Linked DNA regions of Xenopus tropicalis. The protein of the gene in region 1 purifies or fractionates together with the protein of each later gene. This does not show direct contact. Links are inferred from orthologs where the notes say so. Each region holds a gene or a part of one and is shown on either strand. Other genes may lie near its edges.

Region 1 (4,112 bases):
GTAACATATAATGAAGCTTGGGGCATGCTGGGAGCTGTAGTCCAGCAACATCAGGGCTGTATTCTTAAAGCAATATTGCACAATAAAACTTTCCCCCAAATCCCCACAGCCAGCGACTGCTTTAACATGCGAAAAATCCTCCAATGAGAATCCCAGCTGATGTGAGTAAATCCGGCTCCCTGTTCTCTGTTCCTGCAATTGGAGTTGGGAGCAATAAGCACAGTTTCCCAGCACTGAACAAGTCTGTCCCTTTATCCCCATGTCTGATTCCTGTGCCATATAATGAGGGGAGAAAATGCCATCATTATCTCTATATGTAAGGTACCAGCAAGGGGCCTGACACAGTGCTGGGAATCAGCATTCTCACTGGGCAGTTCTTTTGCATTTATAATCAACTTATTTATCAGTACAATTCTCATTGGGGAATTTCCTTGCATCTGTAATGATGGTTTTTGGCAGCTTCTATAGCAAAACTAGGGGGCGCCGTGGGGCAGCATCATGGCTGGGTTTATATCACCATTAAATATACGGGGGGCAAAAATGCAGGATATTTGGCAGGTCCGACAGATGACTGGGCCACATGCTATCAGCAGGGCTTTCCCCACAATGGAGCCTGGGTTATTAGCCCCCCCGCCCACACACAGGCCCTGAGCCCTAGAATCCATGTAACCAAGGCTAGGTACATACATAGCAAAACCCCCAGTCTGCCCTGTTACCCTCTTACCTGCCCAGACCCCTGCCCATCTCACCAGCAAACCCTGTACCTTTTGCAGTCCTATGACAATGGCTATGGCCCCGTCCCTGCACTGTGATTGGGCCCCAGACCAGTCACCCCCCTCCCCTGCTGCTGAGTCCTTAATTGCACCCAGAAAGATACAAGTCACAGGGCCAATGGGCTCCCAGACTTCGAATAGAGGTTTTGGGAGCCCAATTATAGCACCCATGGGTGCCTGGTTATACAACTACAGCCTTGGATGGTATTAGAGCACCTAAATATCCAGGTCACTTCCAGTTGCCCCGGATTGGGCCAGCGGATAAGGAAGGTAATTACCCCAAAGGCTTCATTGCTCAGCCAAAGCGCCTTATATATTTATCCCACTCTCCCTAACGCTAATCCTCTTATCAGCCCTAATCTAATTATATGACCCCCACCCCCCCCCCGCCAGATTGCACATCCCACTGTCACTCAGCCAATGAATTGCCTCCATTGTGCTCTTGGGAACCAATGACCCATTGCTCTGTGCGGCCACAGTTTTATTGTTACAGCTCTGTAACTTTTCTTTCTATTCAGTCCCACTTCTATTCGTATCCCAGTCTCTCATTCCAACCACTGCCTGGTTGCTAAGATAATTTGGACCCTATCGACCATATAGCTGCTAAAATGCCAAGAGCCCCATTAAATGACATTATTGGCCGCACTATTGTGACGTCATTTCTGTATTCCAAGAGCTTCCCAGTGACACAAGTCCTTTAGGGGTTACGTGCCCAATGGGTTCCACTGGGAATGAGGTGCCAGTGCACAAAGGGTGCAAACTCTATACCAGAACAGGGCAGGGTTGTGCCAAGTTACGGGGCCCCCCTGCAGCCTATTACATATTTCTACATTTCATAGCATCCCCCCCCAGTTACAGCCTGTACACCTACCATCATCTTGCCTTACTATACACATTATGCCATAGTTAGAGCCCCTTCTCCTGGCACTGTAGCCCCTATGCCGAGTGCCATCTTGCCTACTATACACATTATGCCATAGTTAGAGCCCCTTCTCCTGGCACTGTAGCCCCTATGCCGAGTGCCATCTTGCCTTACTATACACATTATGCCATAGTTAGAGCCCCTTCTCCTGGCACTGTAGCCCCTATGCCGAGTGCCATCTTGCCTACTATACACATTATGCCATAGTTAGAGCCCCTTCTCCTGGCACTGTAGCCCCTATGCCGAGTGCCATCTTGCCTTACTATACACATTATGCCATAGTTAGAGCCCCTTCTCCTGGCACCACCTTACCTTATTCTGCACACTGTCCAGCACTGTAGCCCCTATGCCGAGCCCCATCTTGCCTTACTATACACACTATACTACAGTTACAGCCAATCCCTGAGGGTCCCTTTGCATACAGCTTGGGGGCCACACAAACTGCAGGGCACTAAAGGCAGCCCGGCCACAGAAAGAGGGGGCACTGCAAGCACCGGGCATTAAGGGGAATAACAGTGGGATTTGCTCATTAGAGGTAACACCCCGGGGGTCATGTTGGCACGAGGGGGCATCGCTGTGGGTGATTCCTTGTGCCCAGTCCGACACACATTGTGCCACAGACCTGTCCTTACTCACAGAAATACGTTCTCCATTGGCGCGGCCTTGTGGGCTTCCAGCTCCCCACAGCGGATTCCCAGCGGTGCCACCACGCAAGCAGGAACCGACTCCTCCAATACGGTTCTGATCCTTAGGTACGGGCTGTCAATCCACATGTAATCCATCTAGGCACCGGCATCACTGCAGCCCTGCCAGCCAGCGAGGTGTGCGACGGTCCCTTCCCTCTCAGCTCTCTCCCCCCCACTGATTCCTTTATTCTCTCCAATGGCAGCGACTACCCACGGGCTGGAATCTCAGCCGCTCTCTCGCTCTCTCGCTCTCTCTCAATCCAAGCAGCTGCATCAAAATTCTCCCATTTACTGTGTTATGCCCTGCGTGCAAGTCTGATTGGCTCGTGTCGTCATCGGCAGTACAGCGTGCCGCGGGCACAACACCAGCATATCAAATCTCTGCAGCCTCCCGCGGGTATGGGTGAGACCCTCCCCAGCCAGCGGGAATGCAGAGACAGAGATAGGGGGCCCAAATATTCCCCCCAGCAAAATGGCAACAGCAAGATACAATGGGGATTGTAAGATATGATGGAGACAGTGGGATAGGAAGAATGGTAAGATAGGGCAATGGTCAATAGGGCAAGAGGGCGACAGTAGGTCATGATGGAGACAGTAGGGCAAGATGGGGACAGTAGGACAAGATGGAGGCAGTAGGGCAAGATGGAGACAGTAGGGCAAGATGGAGACAGTAGGGCAAGATGGAGACAGTAGGGCAAGATGGAGACAGTAGGGCAAAATGAAGACAGTAGGGCAAGATGGGAGACAGTAGGGCAAGATGGAGACAGTAGGGCAAGATGGAGACAGTAGGGCAAGATGGAGACAGTAGGTCAGGATAGAAGCAGTGGGAAATGATGGAAACAGGACCAAAATAAAGAAAGTATGGCAAGATGCTTTAAAGGTGAATTAGCTTTGCTTGTACAACATATTTCCCAGGGCAGCCCAGTAAGCAGGGTTCCTATCTCTGCTGTTGGAATTAGAGTGTAGGCCTGGGGGAGAGGTGCATGTAGTCAGGACCAGAAACAGGCAAAATAAACAAAACAAAACACAATTCAAATAATAGAATACTTTGCCTTTAAATCATACAAATACAAAAACACATACAAGAGTATTATAAAAACAAAACCCCAAGTCTGGATGTGGGCCAAAAGCATCAATCTCTGGAGAAAATAGAGAAATAAATTCCGTTGAGGGGTTTGGGAATAGTCAGGGCGAGTGAACGTAAGGTCACAATCCATGGAGATGAATGTCTGGTTTATATTTTGGGAATAAAATCAAAGCCGCTAAATGTCATCCAAACGGGGAAACTATGGAGAGATATGCTGAAGTAAATTCAGCAAAAGAGCTCAGTGCCAGGCAGTGACTGCAAAAGCCAACAACAACTTCTGTTCCACATGCCATGGAGTTTTGCCCATAAATGCCATGTTGTGAGGCCTGGTCTAGTACACGGAAGGTATAAGCACCTTTGGGTGTCACCCCAGAAGGACCACCCAAAGGGAAACTATGGAGAGATATGAAAATAACACAGAAAAATACTCAGCAGAAGAGCTCAGTGCCAGGCAGTGGCTGCAAAAGCCAACAACAACTTCCGTTCCATATGCCATGGAGTTGTGCCCATAAATGCCATGTTGTGAGGCCTGGTCTAGTACGTGGTATAAACACCTTTGGGTGTCACCCCGCAAGGACCACCCAAAGGGAAACTATGGGGAGATATGAAAATAACTCAGAAGTAAACTAAGCAGAGGAGCTCAG
Region 2 (3,572 bases), on another chromosome or scaffold:
TACATAGACCTTTCTGATACAGCTTACTTAGCTTTTGCCTTTCTTCCTCCTATAAATGGGGAAGTTTTGTATTCGTATTTTTCATAAACTAGGAATTCAAGTACTTAGTAAAATATACAATTTGTAGCATAAAAAAATCACTATTAGTAAAAAAGAGCAAAATACAAATAGTAAATGGGCCCTAAAATTTTAAGCTTTTCAGTGGCATTTAAGCACTTCATTCATCTTTACTTTTTCCAGGTACCCAGTGGTTTGTGTGTTTTATAGGAAATTCAGCTCTTCTTTAACAGATAGGGAAGGTACTCAATAGACCACAGCCCTGGGTTTCCTGATATCTACCTCTGTGTGCTATCCCTAAAGAATAGAAAGAATGAAAATATAAGATATATATAAGAATTTTCCTTTTTGATCTCAATATCTTAAATCTTATATTTGATGAATTAATCTTAAATTAGTGATTTTATAGCACTTTTCACATTACACATCATCAGTTACTTCATATTGAGTTTATATAAGGGTTATAAATGTCGCACTTTCCTAAACAATATGTCCACAATGCCATTATTACACTTCTTTCCTGACAAAGTAATTCAATCCCCCCTCTACTTTGCCCTACTTTAATCATTCGGTTGGTGTTATACTATATTATATGTACTTCTTTATATTTCATTTATTGATTAGGGGGTGGTGGCTTTTTTGGCACAGTATTGGTGCTTTAAATGTTTTTGGAGCTGAAAACATCATGTTTCAACATAGAGCATCTTTAGGTTGAAAACTGCCCATGCTGGTGCTGTTAGATTTTTCCTTTTTAAGTTCAGGAAGTGGCAGGTACTGCTGACATAATAATGCACAGAAAACATCCTATGCCCTCAACCTAAAGGAGCTGGTCAACTATTGACCAGTCTGTTTGACATGGAAATCTTAGTGCAGGGGTCCTCAAGCTAAGGCCCGCAGGCCGGATACTTCCCCCCAAGGTCATTTACCCGGCCCCCGCCCCCGCTGTATGCTCACCCCTGGCTACTACCTGTCTGCCTCAGTGTGGCCCTCGGCCTCAGTGAGTCACATAACTGCGTCCTACCGCCCAACGCTAATGGCGCTCCATATCTTAAAGACTAACTATAGTTTGGCCCCCCCAACAGTCTAAGGGACTGTGAACTGGCCCCCTGTTTAAAAAGTTTGAGGACCCCTGTCTTAGTGAGTATAGTCAATTTTCATTTTTCTTTTACCAGGTAAATAAAGTGCTACGAAATCATAACATAAAGCCTCACTGGATGTTTGCCTTAGATAATATAATTCGAAAGGCCGTGCAGACAGCTATCACTATCCTGGTACCTGGTGAGTCCCATATATATAGACCCATGTGTTCTGTTGCAAAACTATTGATAATTTGTTGGATACAAATGTTGAGTGTTTGATATTTGCTGAGTACTTCAAAAATATATTCACATTTTCTTTTTTTAGACAATCGTTCTTTTTAGGAATATATGTTTCCCAGAAGTAGTTAACCTATTATCAGCATTGTCCAGTATTACTGCAACAGTAGGTATTGAGCTCACTGAAGAGAAACTACTCCATCATGAAAATTACATTTTAACATGTGGAGATAGTTACATAGTTACATAGGGTTGAAAAAAGACCAGTGTCCATCAAGTTCAACCCATCCAAGTAAACCCAGCACACTTAACCCACACCTACCAATCTATACACTCACATACATTGATAATTGAGGAAAAGCATATGCAATATGCAATTTAACTGTCACTGCTAACAAAAATCCTAAATACTAACTCTGGTGGATGATTAATAAATAATGATAAAATATAGTTAATTTTGCATGGTTGTTTTCTGGATGCATTGAGTATACTTATGCTGTGTTTCACTTGCTGATTATTATCCCAAGCATTATAGATCCTATTCCTGTATTTATCTATTTATTTTGTTTTCATCATTTTCCCATAAGCTTGCAATTGCTATATACATTTAACTTTTCTCTGTGTAATCAGTCCCACCTTCTGTATGCCATTAAAATTTGCTTCACCTTTGTCTTACTTAAAACTGTATACACAAACTTACTAAAATGGCCATTCCTTTCCAATGCTGCTCCCTTCGCTTAACTTACCCTAGGCTCACTCCATGTCAGTGTTGCATAGTGTAGATATATATATATATATATATATATATGTAGTATATTATTACAAATATACTGGAGATTCCACTATTTACCACAGCCAGGTAAATGGAGACAACCACGGTTCTTTTCCAGAGATGAATCAATCTATTCAGATTGTCCAGCCCAGAGACAGCAAATAATACAAAGGTCTTTCGAACGTGCCCACAGGATATGTACTGTAGCCTTCAGAAGATTTCTCCCTGACCTTCCATATATCTTTGTGCGTGTATCTGTCTAAATGTGTAAGAGCTTCACAAGTTAAGGTGGCCATACACGCACCGATATTATCGTACGAAACCTCGTTTCGTACGATAATCGGTGCGTGTATGGTATGTCAGCGAGCCGACCGATGTCGCAGGAAGCTGCTGAAATTGGTCGGCTCTTCGATCGGCCAGGTTAGAAAATTTTGATCGGGCGCCATAGAAGGCGCCTGACCAAAATTCTCCCTTCAGAGCTGAATCGGCAGAAGGAGGTAGAAATCCTATTGTTTCTACCTCCTTACCTGCCGATTCAGCCCTGAATGGTGTGTGGCGGATCTGACGATGTTTCGTGCGACCGATGGTCGTACGAAACATCGTCAGATCGCCACGTGTATGGCCAGCTTTATACTGTTAGAATCTCGCTGACCAAAGTAGGGATTTGTTCTGATTGACAAGATAATCAGGTATCATAATCTTTGTTGTGTTAGTCAGTCAGGTCATTTCCATAAGGATGCTGTTTCACCATAAACAACTGAACAACCCGTTTACTTTGAAATGCTAAGAGAGGTTAGTCACTGCTATTTTTAGAAAACGAGTTCCAGTGACAAGTTGCTTGTTTTATCTCTACATAGAGAAAAATATAAATCGCCAGTACCTAAACTGACAATACCACTTCAAAATGCTTATCACTCCTAATCGCTATGAGACCCTTTTTCGAATGATTTTACAAAGAATTGAATTGAGCGGGAATTTGCTGCAATTTCCCCATTTCACTGAATGTAATTTCTAATTGTGGGCAGGGAATATGACACCTGGATTTGTGGGAAATAGAATTACTCTGTTGTTGAAATCTCTAGTAATCGCTTGTAAGGAAAAGACTTGCTTTTTAAAAATCGCTGCGACTAATCTCTCCGTGGGACATTAGCCTAAATGATATTAATATCATACACTTGTAGGTATGTATGCATAGTCCCCACACATATTACTACAGTCAGTATTTAAAGGGATGGTCCCCCCCCACCTCCTCCCACTAGAAGGACCCTCCCCAAATCTTTACAAGACCAAGCTCATCCACCTATCGGCATCTTTTTGGTCCTTCTGCTTTTTGAAAGCAACATTTTCTTTTTAATCTTAAGAAAGTTTTGGAAATGTCCATAAGGTGTTCAAGGGACAGGGGTTTCTGGTCCATGAACCTTACTGCC

The links.
Region 2: the proteins of arrb1 (region 1) and map3k5 purify together in Homo sapiens (affinity purification with western blotting; 3 studies listed by BioGRID and IntAct, with this or other methods). This does not show direct contact. The link is inferred for Xenopus tropicalis from reciprocal best matches to the Homo sapiens genes ARRB1 and MAP3K5.

What each region holds. Positions count from the first base shown.
Region 1 is NC_030678.2:175,782,886-175,786,997, reverse strand, and holds the start of arrb1 (beta-arrestin-1), read right to left. Parts: upstream 2,822-4,112; 5' UTR 2,478-2,821; coding exon 2,332-2,477; intron 1-2,331. UniProt on the Homo sapiens protein: Functions in regulating agonist-mediated G-protein coupled receptor (GPCR) signaling by mediating both receptor desensitization and resensitization processes.
Region 2 is NC_030681.2:58,903,799-58,907,370, reverse strand, and holds part of map3k5 (mitogen-activated protein kinase kinase kinase 5), read left to right. Parts: intron 1-1,229; coding exon 1,230-1,335; intron 1,336-3,572. UniProt on the Homo sapiens protein: Serine/threonine kinase which acts as an essential component of the MAP kinase signal transduction pathway. Plays an important role in the cascades of cellular responses evoked by changes in the environment.